Saccharomyces cerevisiae S288C: one gene and its partners. Changing the gene in region 2 together with the main gene of any one other region gives a genetic interaction. Each region holds a gene or a part of one and is shown on either strand. Other genes may lie near its edges.

Region 1 (4,212 bases), on a different chromosome or scaffold from region 2:
CGGCAATAGCAATTTGGGGAGTTGATAGAATTGTACGTATCACCAGAATTGCACTCTTAGGATTTCCTAAAGCAGATCTACAACTGGTTGGATCTGATTTGGTCCGTGTAACGGTTAAAAAACCAAAGAAGTTTTGGAAGGCAAAACCAGGCCAATACGTTTTCGTTTCCTTCTTGCGTCCATTGTGCTTCTGGCAGTCGCATCCATTTACAGTGATGGATTCTTGCGTAAACGATAGAGAATTGGTCATCGTTCTGAAAGCAAAGAAAGGTGTGACAAAACTGGTAAGAAACTTTGTTGAACGTAAAGGCGGCAAGGCATCCATGAGATTAGCTATCGAAGGCCCTTATGGCTCCAAGTCCACCGCCCATCGCTTTGATAATGTATTATTGTTGGCAGGTGGCTCAGGGCTTCCCGGTCCAATTTCTCATGCCCTTGAATTAGGAAAGACAACAGCTGCAAGCGGTAAAAACTTTGTACAGTTAGTCATAGCAGTAAGAGGACTAGACATGCTCAACGCGTGTAAGAAAGAACTAATGGCATTAAAGGGCTTGAATGTTCAAGTTCACATTTATAATTCTAAGCAAGAGCTAGCTTCGGCTGAAAAAATTTCCTCAAATGAAGTCAAAAACGGTGAAACGACAGCAGAGAAGGCCCCATCTAGTCTAAGCAATTCAGAAAAAGCTCCTTCTGAAAGTGAAAATACAGAACTACCTCTTTCCCTGAATGACACGTCTATCTCCGATTTAGAATTTGCCACTTTCCATGTTGGAAGGCCAAATGTTGAAGAAATACTAAATGAATCTGTTAACCATTCTGGTTCACTTGCCGTCGTATGTTGCGGACCACCTATTTTCGTCGACACCGCTAGAAATCAAACTGCCAAAGCTGTTATCAGAAACCCATCAAGAATGATTGAATACTTGGAGGAATACCAAGCCTGGTGAACAATTTTTCATATTTAAGTAAACACTCAATGTATAATATCCTCTAACTGTTGTAATTTCATTAACGTAGATGGTTTGCGCCTTTTTTAGGGGACTCTTGTTGATTGATTCTAACTACTGAGGCTTAAGTTGTTTCAAATAACACTTTTTCAGAAAAATAATCGTATTAAAAAGCAGAAAAATCATACGTAAGATGACAGAAGCTTCATATTTAGTAACTCTGAATTGTATAACACACCAATTGCCGATAGAATATGAACCAATCGATCTTCAGCGTTCATGTACTTAATTTAACTACCTGTATTTTCTTATAAAGATAAAATTGGTGTATAATGTAAGGACCAAGAGAAAAAGGAATCCCGCATCCCAAGCAATTTCTAGTGGACTATTTCTTCAAAAAATAACTCAATAAACACCTATATAATGTTCGGAGGTTATACTTTAGTGTTTTAGAATGCAGTACCAAAAGTAATATATTGAATTAATAACTATATGATGTGTAGCTAAGAATTAAATAGTAAACGTCTTCTGAAACCTTTTAAGAGGTAATTATTGGTATTCCAAATTCATATGTGGAGGTAAGGGAGACACAAAATTATCTGGAATGACAGCGTGCTGACACCTATAAGGTTCCGTAACTTCAAATGCCTTCATTACTCAACATAGGAAAAGTGAAAGTGTGTGCCTCTAAAATATACGGAACATCGTCGAACTAAAAAAATCCATTAAGCAAAGTCAGAAACAGCATGCACTACAAGACATTTGGTTCATCATGAAGAATGCTCAATTGAACCATCAATCACTTTCTCTTGTTCGATGTTAGCATTATCCTCACTATCAGTTGAATCCTCAATGCTTTCGGTTTCAGTCCTCGCATCTTCCTGAACTTCAAGATCTAAAAGAGGCTCACTCTCTTCCAGACTGGTCTCCAAGCGGTCCACGGTATCACGTAATGCCTTCACACAAGCCTTCAAAACAGATCTTGTGCTTGACCCATTTTCCTTAGCTTGAGATAGGACTGTGATATAAGAAGCATATGTGGTAGCGAGAAATAGTATGAATAAAACGGCTTCTGGTAAAATATCTATTTTAGCAATCTTACAAGAACCTGAATAATCAAAGTTTATACCCCGTGGCATACTTGAGCAGGACATAGAACCAAATTTTGAAGCTAGAGTTACGAAAGCGGTAAACCACAGGACGGTCTGAACAATTTCCATCACGAATATTAACAGAACAGGCAAAAATCTCACAATCCCAAAATAAACTGAAGATATGATTGAAACAGCTAAGCTCAATCTAAGGATTCGATCCACTTTATAGTTTGTGATTATGGCAAAACTAGCTAACAACAAGTTAGTTACAGATAAGCCAAGTTGGAAATATCTTAGTACGTGGAAAGTAACGGATGTTGTTGTTAACTTTAACATATATGTATTGAGTTATTATTATAGATCTTGACTTGGTAACAAAATATCAAGCTGTAAGCACCGCCTGTATTCTCCTATTTATGGTTGATTATATTTTACTTCTGTTGAACCAAGAAAAAAATAGCAACTCGAAAAGTCGCTTATTCATTCACTTTTTTAATTTTTTTACATATCGCATACGTAATTGGAAACACGCAATTTTAACTTTGGGCAAATACATAAATCATTTTGAGAAGTTGGTTTTTAGTCTCCGAGAGATTATAAACCAACATCCTTAAAAGATAGTATTCATTTCTCACCTGCCAATGCAAGAGCAGATATTATTCAGCAAGCAGTACAGCAAATCGGAAGCGAATTCCAATGACAATTTGCAGAATAAGATTAGAATAATATATTGAGATTAAAGAAAAGGTTATGCGAATTGCCTAACGTCTTTAACTTTGAAGCGGCCAAACTCTAAAAAACCTTGGTTAAAATACAAGCTTTGGCGTCCATGCAAACTGATTACATCATTCAGTATAAAGTGCCATATAAAAGAGGCACACACTTTTCCACAACTGGTTTGAATATAATAGAAGAATAAATCAGAAGGAAACTTTAAATATTAGTAATATTTATTTATGGCCGCTAAAAGATTAGTCCGGATATATCACTATAGAAATGGTAAAGATAATACACTATCATTTCCAAATGTAAAATTTGTTGATAGAACGCCATAAAAAAGAGGCTGACTTTTTGTCGTCCAAGTTCTTCGAAAAAATATACGTCAATGGCACCCGATATATAGCTGGATTTGGACCAGTATATGTCTAAGGAAATCTAACACCTTTTTTTCCTGAGCCAAATAAGCGGTGGAATTGAAACAGCTACCAAAATCATACCAAATCCAACCGCAATTGAAAGCCCCAATCTTGTGCCATAAAGAGCTGCTAATACAATCGGTGCCACCAGTTTACCAATCCCAGAGATTGCTCCAATTGAAGGCATCAACTGGACCTTGAGTTTGGGGTCGATGTACATGGAAAAAAGGGCTGGAATGCTCGAAGCCAAAAAGTTGTACCCTAACAATGTAATCGACATCCCAGCTGAAAAAAATATACCAGAATTTGTGGGTGGCATTGATTTATGCTTCAAGGCTTCGGATGCTCCAATCATAAAAGCTTGTCCCAGCAATGAAACAAACAATGCAAAGATGGACAGAAAAACTTGACCGCTGTACAGCGAATCTTTTTTCTTTACCTCAACGGTCTCACTTCCAGTTGTATCTGACTCTTCTAATCCGCCATCTTTGGCTCTGCCGCAGGAGCACCCGACGTTTATTAACTTTGGAGCGAAATAGCTTCCAGTCACACCAAGTATAGATGCGACCATAAACGCTATGCCTTGAAACTTGGTGTCCCAGTTAACGTGGAGCGTCAGGAATAGTGGCATAAAATAAACTACTTCGCTCATAATAAATGACGATAGGAACATGCTCCATAGTAAAATCAAGCAGGAGATGAGTTTTTTTCTTTCGACTCTAAAAAATTGTTTCAGAGCACTGAAAAGGCTATTTTCCGAATTTGTAACTTTAACCTCAGGATTTTCCAGAACGACAACTAATAAAAGGCATACTGCAAGAATTATGAAACTGGAGGCAAATGTCGGTGCATTGTAAGAGGCAATGCGATACCCTTTAATTTTAAAATCGCAATATCCAAAAAATATGACAATTAATTGTGCCAACGCCATGAAGATACCAGCCGCTGCTCGATAAATTGATAGAAGCTTGAAAACGATACCCCTATCTTGTGCAATTGACATGATGTAACTGAACACTATAGCACCAGAAGCAG
Region 2 (5,413 bases):
GAACACACAGGTGAGTCAGTAAATTTTTCACATTTTTGTTGAAACATCATGTTTGATGATTCTAGAGCTCGTTTGATTCCGTCCTCCATTTTAGAGTAATTTTTACAATAATCATAAATGGTTTTTTCCAACTGCACTTTAGAATATTCCAACTGGCAACACTTGGAGAAAAAAATATCTTGTGATGATTCAAGTTGCTGTTTTAAACTCTTCCACTCATTTTTATTCATATCTGTACTTCCCGCTGCATCGCAATCATCATTATCATGTTGACTAACTTTGCGGATCCAATCGGATATAGATGTTTTGATAGATGAAACGTTGGACTTTTCTTCGTGTTCATTGTCGGAGTGTGTTAACTCACCATACGATTTTTTTTTTCTGTTTCCAGCATTACCATTACTCTCTTGCGTAGCAAGGACTTCACTGTTCCAGTAATAGTATTTTTCCTGGTCAAACTGAGAAACTTTGCTAGAGTAAAAACTCAGGGAATATTCTTGTATTATACCCAGTTGGATGAATTCGTTACCTATCCTATCGATATTAAATAAGGACAGGTTTAGTCTGGGTTCAAGTTTTTTCAATTCTTTGATCAATGACCTGCCTTGGAAACTTTGATTTGACAATCCTGGAACGGAAAAGACACTTTTCTCCAGGATGACTTTTCCCTTCAAGGTTTGCAAAAATGACATAAATTGGTCGCAATCCTCAAATTTTAACCTCTCGTCTAAAGTGTAAGGAAACTCGCATACGAAGTTCAACCTGGTTAACGGTGCACTATCCTTTCCATTATCAAAAACAGAGGAAGAATTTTCCACTGGCGTATTGGCTTTTTTCAATTTATATATAGACTGAACTCTTTTCTCACATCCAATTAGTGCCTCTTTAGCTGCGACTAAATCCTTAATGTAAGCTGAATAACGAGATGACAAATCGTTTTCTGCCTCACGAAGGAAGCTCTCATTAAGATCTCTTAGTTCTTGCAATGGAATTTTACAATCTCTTTCAACTTGCTCTGTTGATATTATATTAAACTGTTTGCTCATCACTTCCAGCAGCCTGCTATTCATTGAATTGGTTGCTTCCATTTTTTGTAAATTGTTCAATGTTGGTTTCCAAAATTTGTTGACAAAATCATTGTAAAATTTGATGTCTTTAATCAGCAAATCATTTTCTCTCTTCATATGTTTTATGAATAATTTGATACCTGTTGTATAGTCTTTGGTCCAATATGTGTTCCTTAGTGAAATTTTAACTGAGTCGCAATCAATGGAGAGTTGCCTCGAATTCTGTAATTCATCACCAATAATATCTTCTTCGTTATGCTCTTTAACAGACATAACTAGAGACCGAAAGAAAATGCTCTCTTTCTCTTGCCTTTGTCTATGTAATGACAATACTTAATCTACTGGGCCTGACTGGTTTTTTGTTTACTAGTTGCTCTAAAAAATGCAAACGTCAATAAAAAAGAAAAATATGGAAAAGAAAATATACTTTCCCGTATTAACTTGGGTAAAATATAGTAGTATTGTATTGGTGATTTTTCTTTCCTGTGCAAAATAGTTGGCAGAGCATTACACATATTTCTTATTTAGAATATTCAAATAAAGAAAAACTAACTACATGTTAAAAAAAAAGGCAATCCTAAACAGCCAATCTATCAAAGTCAGGTTCTATCTCATAACCGAATACACGGGCTAGAGAGTAGATGTACTTCCTTACCGAGTTGATGACTACACGAGCTAACCCAACAGCCCTTTTACGAAATTTTGGCTGGTTGTTCGTTGTGATGTCATCATTTTTCTTAGCCATATGTTGCTCACTAGTCGTTGGTAGCACATAATCACCAGCTGACAGAGAAACAAATAAGGCAAATGGTATGAACCAAACGCATATACCAAAAAATGAGGCTACTTCAGCGAAACTAGCACGTCTGCGTGGTATATAATTTGGATCAAATTTGAACTGTGGGGGAACTTCCGTATCATTAAAATATTTGAACCAGAAGTAGTGATTCAAGACCACACATACGCAGCTTAATAGGAAAGTTGGGCTGGTTAACGAAATAAATGGGAAACTTTTTAAGTTTTGGTAATATACTATGTAACATGCAATGGAAAAAAGTGTAAGTTTGAACGGGAAACCGTCTAGTAACAGTAGCAGAATTAATATTAATATTATACCATAAATAGCCCTTGTGAGAAACCGTCTTGTGGGTTCTGTGTGTTCTTCAACAAGTTCACTAATGTAGTATAAACCCGATGCAATTGAAAGTGTTAAAAAAAGAAACCCTGAAACGGTTCCTGCATAAGAAATCAATTCTAACAGCATGGTTTTATTCTAACAATTTCTTTTCTCCCTTTTGCTCTTTTTCTCACTTGTCAACTATATGTTTTTAGTTTTAATTTTCACATTGACCATTCAACCTTTAAAAAATCATAAAGTTATAAATGATAGAGAAATAAGAACAAAGGGAAAAAAAATAATACCGGTATAATGCCACCTGCCAGAATTGAACTAGCGACCTTTGCATTACAAGTGCAACGCTCTACCACTAAGCTAAGGAGGCTAAAAATACAACTATGTTGTATCTCAAAATAAGATACGTCAGTATGACAATACGTCATCCCAAACGTTCATAAAACACACATAACAAACGAATAGAATGAGTAACATAACTGTTGGAATGCGAGAATGAGATATTTGTGAATTTTGAGATAATTTGTGGGAATCCATTGTTCACAAAGACAATAATATTAGGTATATAGAATATGCTAGAAGTTCTCCTAGAGGATATAGGAATCCTCAAAATGGAATCGATATTTCTACATGATAATATTAGGATTATTCCTCATTCCGTTTTATATGTTTCATTATCCCATTACATTATCAATCCTTGCACTTCAGCGTCCATTAAGTTCGATGACTGTGTCCCAATCCTATGTCATCTTCTTACACCGCATGTAATAATATAATAGTAATATGACTACTATAAATAGATGACATTTTAGAGTTTCATGTCTTCATAAATGTTTGGCAGGAAGTTTGAAAAGATGGAACGTGCTGCTGCTGATGTAAGGGTCTGAATAAAACCGGATGTCTTGGCAATCCTAATGTCGCTAGGATAGTTGCTTGTCTTTCCAACAAAAGATATAATTCACAAATATTTCTCTGTGCTCCGCATATATTTGGCTTGATGTTTTAAATAGTTTGTGAGTAGTAATTCAATACAAATACTATCAAGCTTTAAGATTCATTATTTCACCAAAATAATCAGTTTTTGTTTTATATGAGGTTGAGTGTCTCAGCTAACTTATGATAAGCTATCTTTAACATGACAAACGGGATGTGATATTTGTTGTCTTGGCTCCAGATCAGCAGTTGTACTAATCTTGCTTACACTGAGCGTGTTCTATGCATTATCTTTAACACTCTTGTACGTCTTGTTTACCATACTTTGCCATATCCTTGTTCTTAAGAAAGGAATTTTGATCTAACATCTCTGAAATCGTGGCACCGTCTAGTAAAATATTAGACACTACTAACGTTACTAAGGAATAAGGTACAACAATTAAAGTCGCTAGTTCGTGAGATTAAAATCTGTTACATATTCTTAGATTGAGAGTTAACGCTGCATATTTCTCTTTGGTGATGAATTAGTCATAAATTGCATTTGCGTCACTCATTATTGTGCTTCTGTGTGAGAGTATTTTAGGAATTTATATATATATATATATATATATATATATATATATAGTATACTGGCTCCCGAGCCAGATGAGGGGGTATGAGGTTTCGACGCTTAAGGTATTATCTGAATCACAGTCGCATACACTAGTTGACCCTCAGTACAGAGATTCCCACGATTAACGGGCTGAACGGGTCCTGACTAATGTAGTTTTGAGTTCACCTGTTGGTGCAGTATTGTTATCGGCACTGGCACTGGTACTGGCACGGGTGTTTGGAAAAACTCTGTAGCATTCAATGGAGAGATTACTACATGAGTGGCGATCCAACGCGAGACATAATCTGTATTAGCTTCATAACCATACTCTGTCAGTAAGGAGCCATAGTCGACATCTGTAACATTCCTAGTAGTGCCAACTGTACCCGGCATGATATTATCTCTGACATCCCCAAAATACACAGCTGTACCATTTATTAAGTGGTAGATTGAGGGAGAGTCTATTCCACCAAGATAGAATCCGTTTCTTTCGAGAAAAATGACTTCATTAAAATTAAGTCCTGCTGGAATGTTAGTGAAGAATCTCAAAGGATTAGTAAGATCAACATCAGGGAGGGAACTATTGTTGATCGAGGTAGCAGCTAGGTTGAAGAATGTAGCAATAAATGCAACGAGGGTTATCCAGTGCATTTCCATTGGGCACGTTAAATAAGTTGAATATATAATAGTAATTTTAGAGGTTTGATGCAAGTTTGGTAGGAGATTTTATGCCTATAATATATATATTCGACCTCAATGTTCAGATAGTAGTTTTACTGCTTGAATATAGTGTGCGCCTGTACGTTTCGATTGGTTGAATTAAACATGTTCTATATTATAGCAAATTTGAAACTCCGCTGCATGTTTGATGAACGAATTGTGCCCGTTATATATATATATATTAAATCTTACTATTTAATTCCTGGGGTCTTATTTTTTACCTGCATTTAACATTTGAGCAACCATCGGGTCGCATATTCACTTTATGACCGAGGCGACCTCAATGCAACCGCAGGCGAAGATGTACGGTCAGAACCTTTCAGAATGTTATTAGGGCATTTTGTGTGGACAGTGACAAACCAGCTTCTCTAGGTACCCAATAGCGTTTTTACTGGGTATCCTGTTCTTTTTCGGGTAGTCCTTATTCTAGATCTTATTCCAAAAGCTTTCAAGACAAATCAATAAAAGAGCCTATTTGAATGTGCAATACCTTCACACCAGTTTTAGCGTGCCAAAAATCCTTCGTTCATTGAGAACTGAAGCCAGTTTAATTGCAATGGCCCTAATATAAATCTAAGGCCAACAAATACTTGGTCACAGAATGCAAGATATGTAACGATTTTTATAACAGTTTAACAGGAGAGGATAAGGACGAACATAAACGGTAGCACAGCCGTTAAGGGGATATCCTTTCAATTTCTACCCAGCACAAACTTTACGTGTTCTCAATCCACGTCTGCAGTAGAAACTGTCGCACATATAGTAACATAAATTTATATCGTAGTATATTGGAAGAAAGTGGGCGTGGGTGCGAGCGTATACTTTGGAATTTTGACATCGCATTTAATATTGTACCTAAACTCATTTCTACCACCATATGGTCACACTCTCAGATTCATATCAACTTCCTACATTATGCTACTAATCAATATAAAACGCAGGGATATAAACTCTGCACACTTCAATCTG
Region 3 (5,082 bases), on a different chromosome or scaffold from region 2:
TGACGAAGCAAAAGGAAGAATAGTCACACTTGCAGTGTAATTAGTACAAACAACACAACTAACTCAATACAGCACCTTCCTTGCCATGTTTAGATCCGTTTGCCGCATTTCTTCCCGCGTGGCACCTTCTGCGTACCGCACTATAATGGGCCGTTCCGTTATGTCCAACACCATACTCGCACAAAGATTTTATTCTGCAAACTTGAGCAAAGATCAGGTTTCTCAAAGGGTCATTGATGTTATCAAGGCGTTTGATAAGAACTCTCCCAACATTGCCAACAAGCAAATCTCCAGCGATACCCAATTTCACAAGGATTTGGGGTTGGACTCCTTGGACACTGTCGAGCTGCTCGTAGCTATTGAAGAAGAATTTGATATTGAAATCCCTGACAAAGTGGCTGATGAGTTGAGAAGTGTTGGTGAAACGGTCGATTATATCGCTTCCAATCCCGACGCAAACTAAGTGTCCGTCCCCGCTCTATTATATTGTATCGTGTCACCCCCATGTCATATTATATTCGTATGTATATAAATAGATCGATTGACCCGTATATATATATATCTATATAACCAGCCCTGTTAATACTATACTTTACTCTCTCCTCCCTTTTTCTCGTTGTTTGTTATTTTGGCCCCGAATTATTATATATTAAGGTACTGTTGAAAAATAAAACATGTATAACCTTTTGAATGAAAATAGCAAGAAGTCGGAAGAAATCTAGCACCACATAGCCATCATTATGGATAAGAATTCAGTTAACAAAGATAGTGAAGAAAAAGACGAAAGACACAAGATTGAGGTTGTAGACGATACAAATCCTGACTTCATCACTGCAGATTCGGAACTGACACAAGATCTGCCTGATGATGTAGAGGTTATTGACTTGGTCCATCTAAAAATCAAATCGTTAGAAGATTTGAACCTTTATAGGTTCAAGAATTTGAAACAATTATGTCTCAGACAGAACCTGATCGAAAGCATAAGCGAAGTGGAAGTTTTACCCCATGACAAGATTGTTGACCTTGATTTTTACGATAACAAAATTAAACATATCTCCTCTAATGTTAATAAGCTCACCAAATTAACGTCTCTAGACCTGTCGTTTAACAAGATCAAGCACATCAAAAATCTAGAAAATTTGACTGATCTGGAGAATTTATACTTCGTGCAGAACAGCATTTCCAAAATTGAAAATCTGTCCACTTTGAAATCACTGAAAAACTTAGAATTAGGTGGTAATAAGGTTCATTCTATTGAACCCGATTCCTTCGAAGGTCTGTCAAACTTGGAAGAAATTTGGTTGGGTAAAAATTCCATACCAAGACTTATTAACTTACATCCTTTAAAGAATTTGAAGATATTGTCCATCCAATCTAATAAATTAAAAAAAATTGAAAATCTAGAAGAGTTGACCAATCTTGAAGAGCTCTATCTGTCACATAATTTCATCACCAAGATTGAAGGTCTAGAGAAAAACCTAAAACTAACTACTTTGGACGTGACCTCCAACAAAATTACCTCCCTGGAAAACTTGAACCACCTGTCAAATTTAACTGACATATGGGCCTCCTTTAACAAGATAGATCAATCCTTTGAGAGCTTGGGTGAAAACCTGTCCGCCCTATCACGCTTGGAGACCATTTATCTGGAGGGAAACCCTATTCAACTGGAAAATAAGACTTCGTATAGAAGAAAACTGACTATGAACTTACCTCCATCCCTACAGAAGATTGATGCGACATATATAAGAGGCTGATCTTGATCAAGAAATGATTTTTTTTTTATATACACACACAAACATATATATATATATATATATATAATGTAGGATTTTGATCCTTTTAAAAAAAACTGAATAATCCATCTAGTTAAAGTTCGCCCTTAAAAACCTCGAGCATGAAAAAAAGAAGAGCTGCTGAACTACATAAAGAAAAACATATGCAATAGCTAAGGGCACGTCCTTCTGTCTCGCAATATGAAAATACAACTTGTAAGATGGCATTGTTCTCGCAATGCTCTTTGGAATCGTGCTTTCTACTCTACGAGAAAGGCCACTAAGAACGCTTCGTCGGCGACTCCAGCTACTATGACATCCATGGTATCTCAGAGGCAAGATCTTTTCATGACAGATCCACTATCTCCTGGATCCATGTTCTTTCTTCCAAATGGTGCTAAGATTTTCAACAAATTGATAGAGTTTATGAAGTTACAACAAAAGTTCAAATTTGGTTTTAATGAAGTTGTGACGCCTTTGATTTACAAAAAGACTCTTTGGGAAAAGTCTGGTCACTGGGAAAATTATGCTGATGACATGTTTAAGGTGGAAACTACGGATGAAGAAAAGGAGGAATACGGTTTAAAACCGATGAATTGCCCAGGCCATTGTCTGATCTTCGGTAAAAAGGATAGATCGTATAACGAACTTCCCCTACGCTTCTCTGATTTTTCACCACTACATAGAAATGAAGCTTCTGGTGCACTGTCGGGATTGACTAGACTAAGGAAGTTCCATCAAGACGATGGTCATATCTTTTGCACTCCTTCCCAAGTGAAATCAGAAATTTTCAACTCTTTAAAATTAATCGACATAGTTTACAACAAAATTTTCCCCTTTGTTAAAGGAGGTTCTGGAGCAGAGAGCAATTATTTTATAAACTTTTCTACAAGACCGGATCACTTCATTGGAGACCTCAAAGTTTGGAATCATGCTGAGCAAGTACTCAAGGAAATCTTGGAAGAATCAGGCAAACCGTGGAAACTGAACCCTGGTGATGGTGCGTTCTATGGTCCAAAGTTGGATATAATGGTTACGGACCATTTACGCAAAACTCATCAAGTCGCTACTATTCAGTTGGACTTTCAGCTACCTGAGAGGTTCGATTTGAAATTCAAGGATCAAGACAACTCGTACAAGAGGCCAATTATGATTCATAGAGCTACTTTTGGTTCTATCGAAAGATTTATGGCTTTACTGATAGATTCTAATGAGGGCCGTTGGCCGTTTTGGTTGAATCCTTACCAAGCTGTAATTATTCCCGTCAATACGAAAAATGTGCAACAGCTAGACATGTGCACTGCCTTGCAGAAAAAACTACGTAATGAACTGGAAGCCGACGACATGGAACCAGTTCCTTTAAATGATTGGCATTTCAATGTTGATCTCGACATAAGAAACGAACCCGTAGGGTATAGGATCAAGTCGGCCATTTTGAAAAACTATTCCTATTTAATTATCGTGGGTGATGAGGAAGTACAGTTACAGAAATACAACATTCGAGAACGTGATAATAGAAAGAGTTTCGAGAAACTTACAATGTCTCAAATTTGGGAAAAATTTATTGAGCTGGAAAAAAACTACAAGTAACTTAAAATATATGACAAACTTGCCCTGTAAATAAAAGGATACGATTTGATGTATAGCTGGATTCATACAGAGACTAGACTCATCCGCCCCACAGATGCATTAATTCATGTATATTTCACATATTATACCATATGTAGTCATTAAACTAAGATAATATTACTGTATTTACATGTATCATCCTTTATACTTTTATACTTTTTACGTTCGGGAGATTTTCAGGAGATTTTAAGGTTTGGATTCCTCATTCAATGGTTCTTTTTTCACATCTGATTGCTCTGCTTTTTTCGCAGCATTTTCCTTTGCGCTTGAAACATTTGGCGCTGATTCTATTGTGTTGACCTTTACTTTGTCTTGAGGTTCCTCATCATCAGATGTTTCCTTTAGTTGTTCTGCATAATGCTCGGGGTATTTTCTGAAACAGTCTTGCATATGTTGAAACTTTTCAACACAGTCGATACCTTTTGGTTCAGCTTCAGAATAGACGAAGCAAGAAAATGCAGATTTGAACTCTTCACCACAGGGTCCATGGGCCATACCTCCCAAGCAAGGACAGTCCCAATTTATCTCACCAGTGTCTGGGTTATAAGCACCTTCGTGTTGAACCTCTTCTTCAGTAGGACCCATTTGCTTTTCCTCTTGTTTTCTTAGTTCTTCTTTCTCTTCATCGCTAGATTCAGATTGCTTAGCTGAATTTTCCGAGTCACTTACAGTTTTTTTTGAGGATTCTTCTTCTCCATTATTATCTTCAGTAGTTGTCTTGTCATCAGATTGTCCCTGTTGCGATTTTTCATCATCTGAATGTTCTGGATCTTTTTTTTCAGAAGATCCAGCATTGTTGTCTAGTGTTTTGTCACTAGTATTTTCTTCCGAGTTCTCAGAACTTATGTTTTCATCCTTTTGATTGTTAGCGGTGGCATTGTCTTCATTGGATTGCTCATCATCTTTGGTTGATACCTTTGATTCATCAGTATCTTTATCTTCGGAAGACTTGTTGTCTTCTTCTGCTAGAACAACCAATTCACCATCTTCAGCTACTTTTGAAGCACCAATTTTATCACCCCCTAATTGAGGGCCAGCTTCAGTTTCATCGTTTTTGCTGTCGTTGTCATCTCCATTTTCATCGCTTTTGCTGTTGTTGTCATCTTCATTTTCTGGTGATTGCTCACCACCACTGGAAAGCTCTTCCTCTGCGGTTTTATCGGATTCTACCTTCCTTGAGGCGAAAAGAGGCTTCCTATTAGGAGCAATAAAATATAAAGCACCAGCCATAGAAAGAATCCCCATTATAAAGCCCGCTGTTTTTTCCTGATTGGAGTTCCTACCGAACTGAGGGGAGGACGCCATGAGACGTCTTGTTTGGTGTCGGCATAACCCCCTTGCCACTTGAATTGACGGCCTGTTTCTGCACGCATTCCTGACGACTAAGTTGCGAAGCATTTTACTGATAATATACACTCTTTGGATCGAGCCTACTTCCAGTTGGTAATTGGTGTTCCACAATTTCAGCATTATATGTTTTTAAACCAAAATTCGGCTCCTTTTCCCTTTTTTTCTTATTGGGTGGCGTGCCGTACAGAACGATTGGCTTGGTGTGAAATCAAGAGCAAGCACAATAGATATCAACATGAACAATATACAAAAGTCTCTGGCACAGTTTGACTGCGTTAGACCAGGCTAGGGCATTTCTGAAGCTTTACGTATCACTAGAGAAGTTATT

What was found.
Region 1: mutations in SVP26 (region 2) and YNR061C together harm fitness more than expected from each alone (negative genetic interaction), as found in Saccharomyces cerevisiae (one large-scale study listed by BioGRID).
Region 3: mutations in SVP26 (region 2) and MST1 impair growth when combined (synthetic growth defect), as found in Saccharomyces cerevisiae (one large-scale study listed by BioGRID).

Annotation. Positions count from the first base shown.
Region 1 is NC_001146.8:741,164-745,375, forward strand, and holds YNR061C (uncharacterized protein), read right to left. Parts: upstream 2,378-4,212; coding exon 1,718-2,377; downstream 1-1,717. Other genes in the region: FRE4 (ferric-chelate reductase), read left to right, coding at 1-947; PUL3 (Pul3p), read right to left, coding at 3,197-4,180.
Region 2 is NC_001140.6:464,146-469,558, reverse strand, and holds SVP26 (Svp26p), read right to left. Parts: upstream 2,332-5,413; coding exon 1,645-2,331; downstream 1-1,644. Other genes in the region: RGD3 (Rgd3p), read right to left, coding at 1-1,340; YHR180W (uncharacterized protein), read right to left, coding at 3,890-4,381. UniProt on the Saccharomyces cerevisiae protein: Plays a role in retention of a subset of membrane proteins in the early Golgi compartments. Facilitates endoplasmic reticulum to Golgi transport of mannosyltransferases MNN2 and MNN5.
Region 3 is NC_001143.9:75,541-80,622, reverse strand, and holds MST1 (threonine--tRNA ligase MST1), read left to right. Parts: upstream 1-1,976; coding exon 1,977-3,365; downstream 3,366-5,082. Other genes in the region: ACP1 (acyl carrier protein), read left to right, coding at 86-463; type 1 protein phosphatase-activating protein SDS22, read left to right, coding at 741-1,757; MIA40 (Mia40p), read right to left, coding at 3,591-4,802.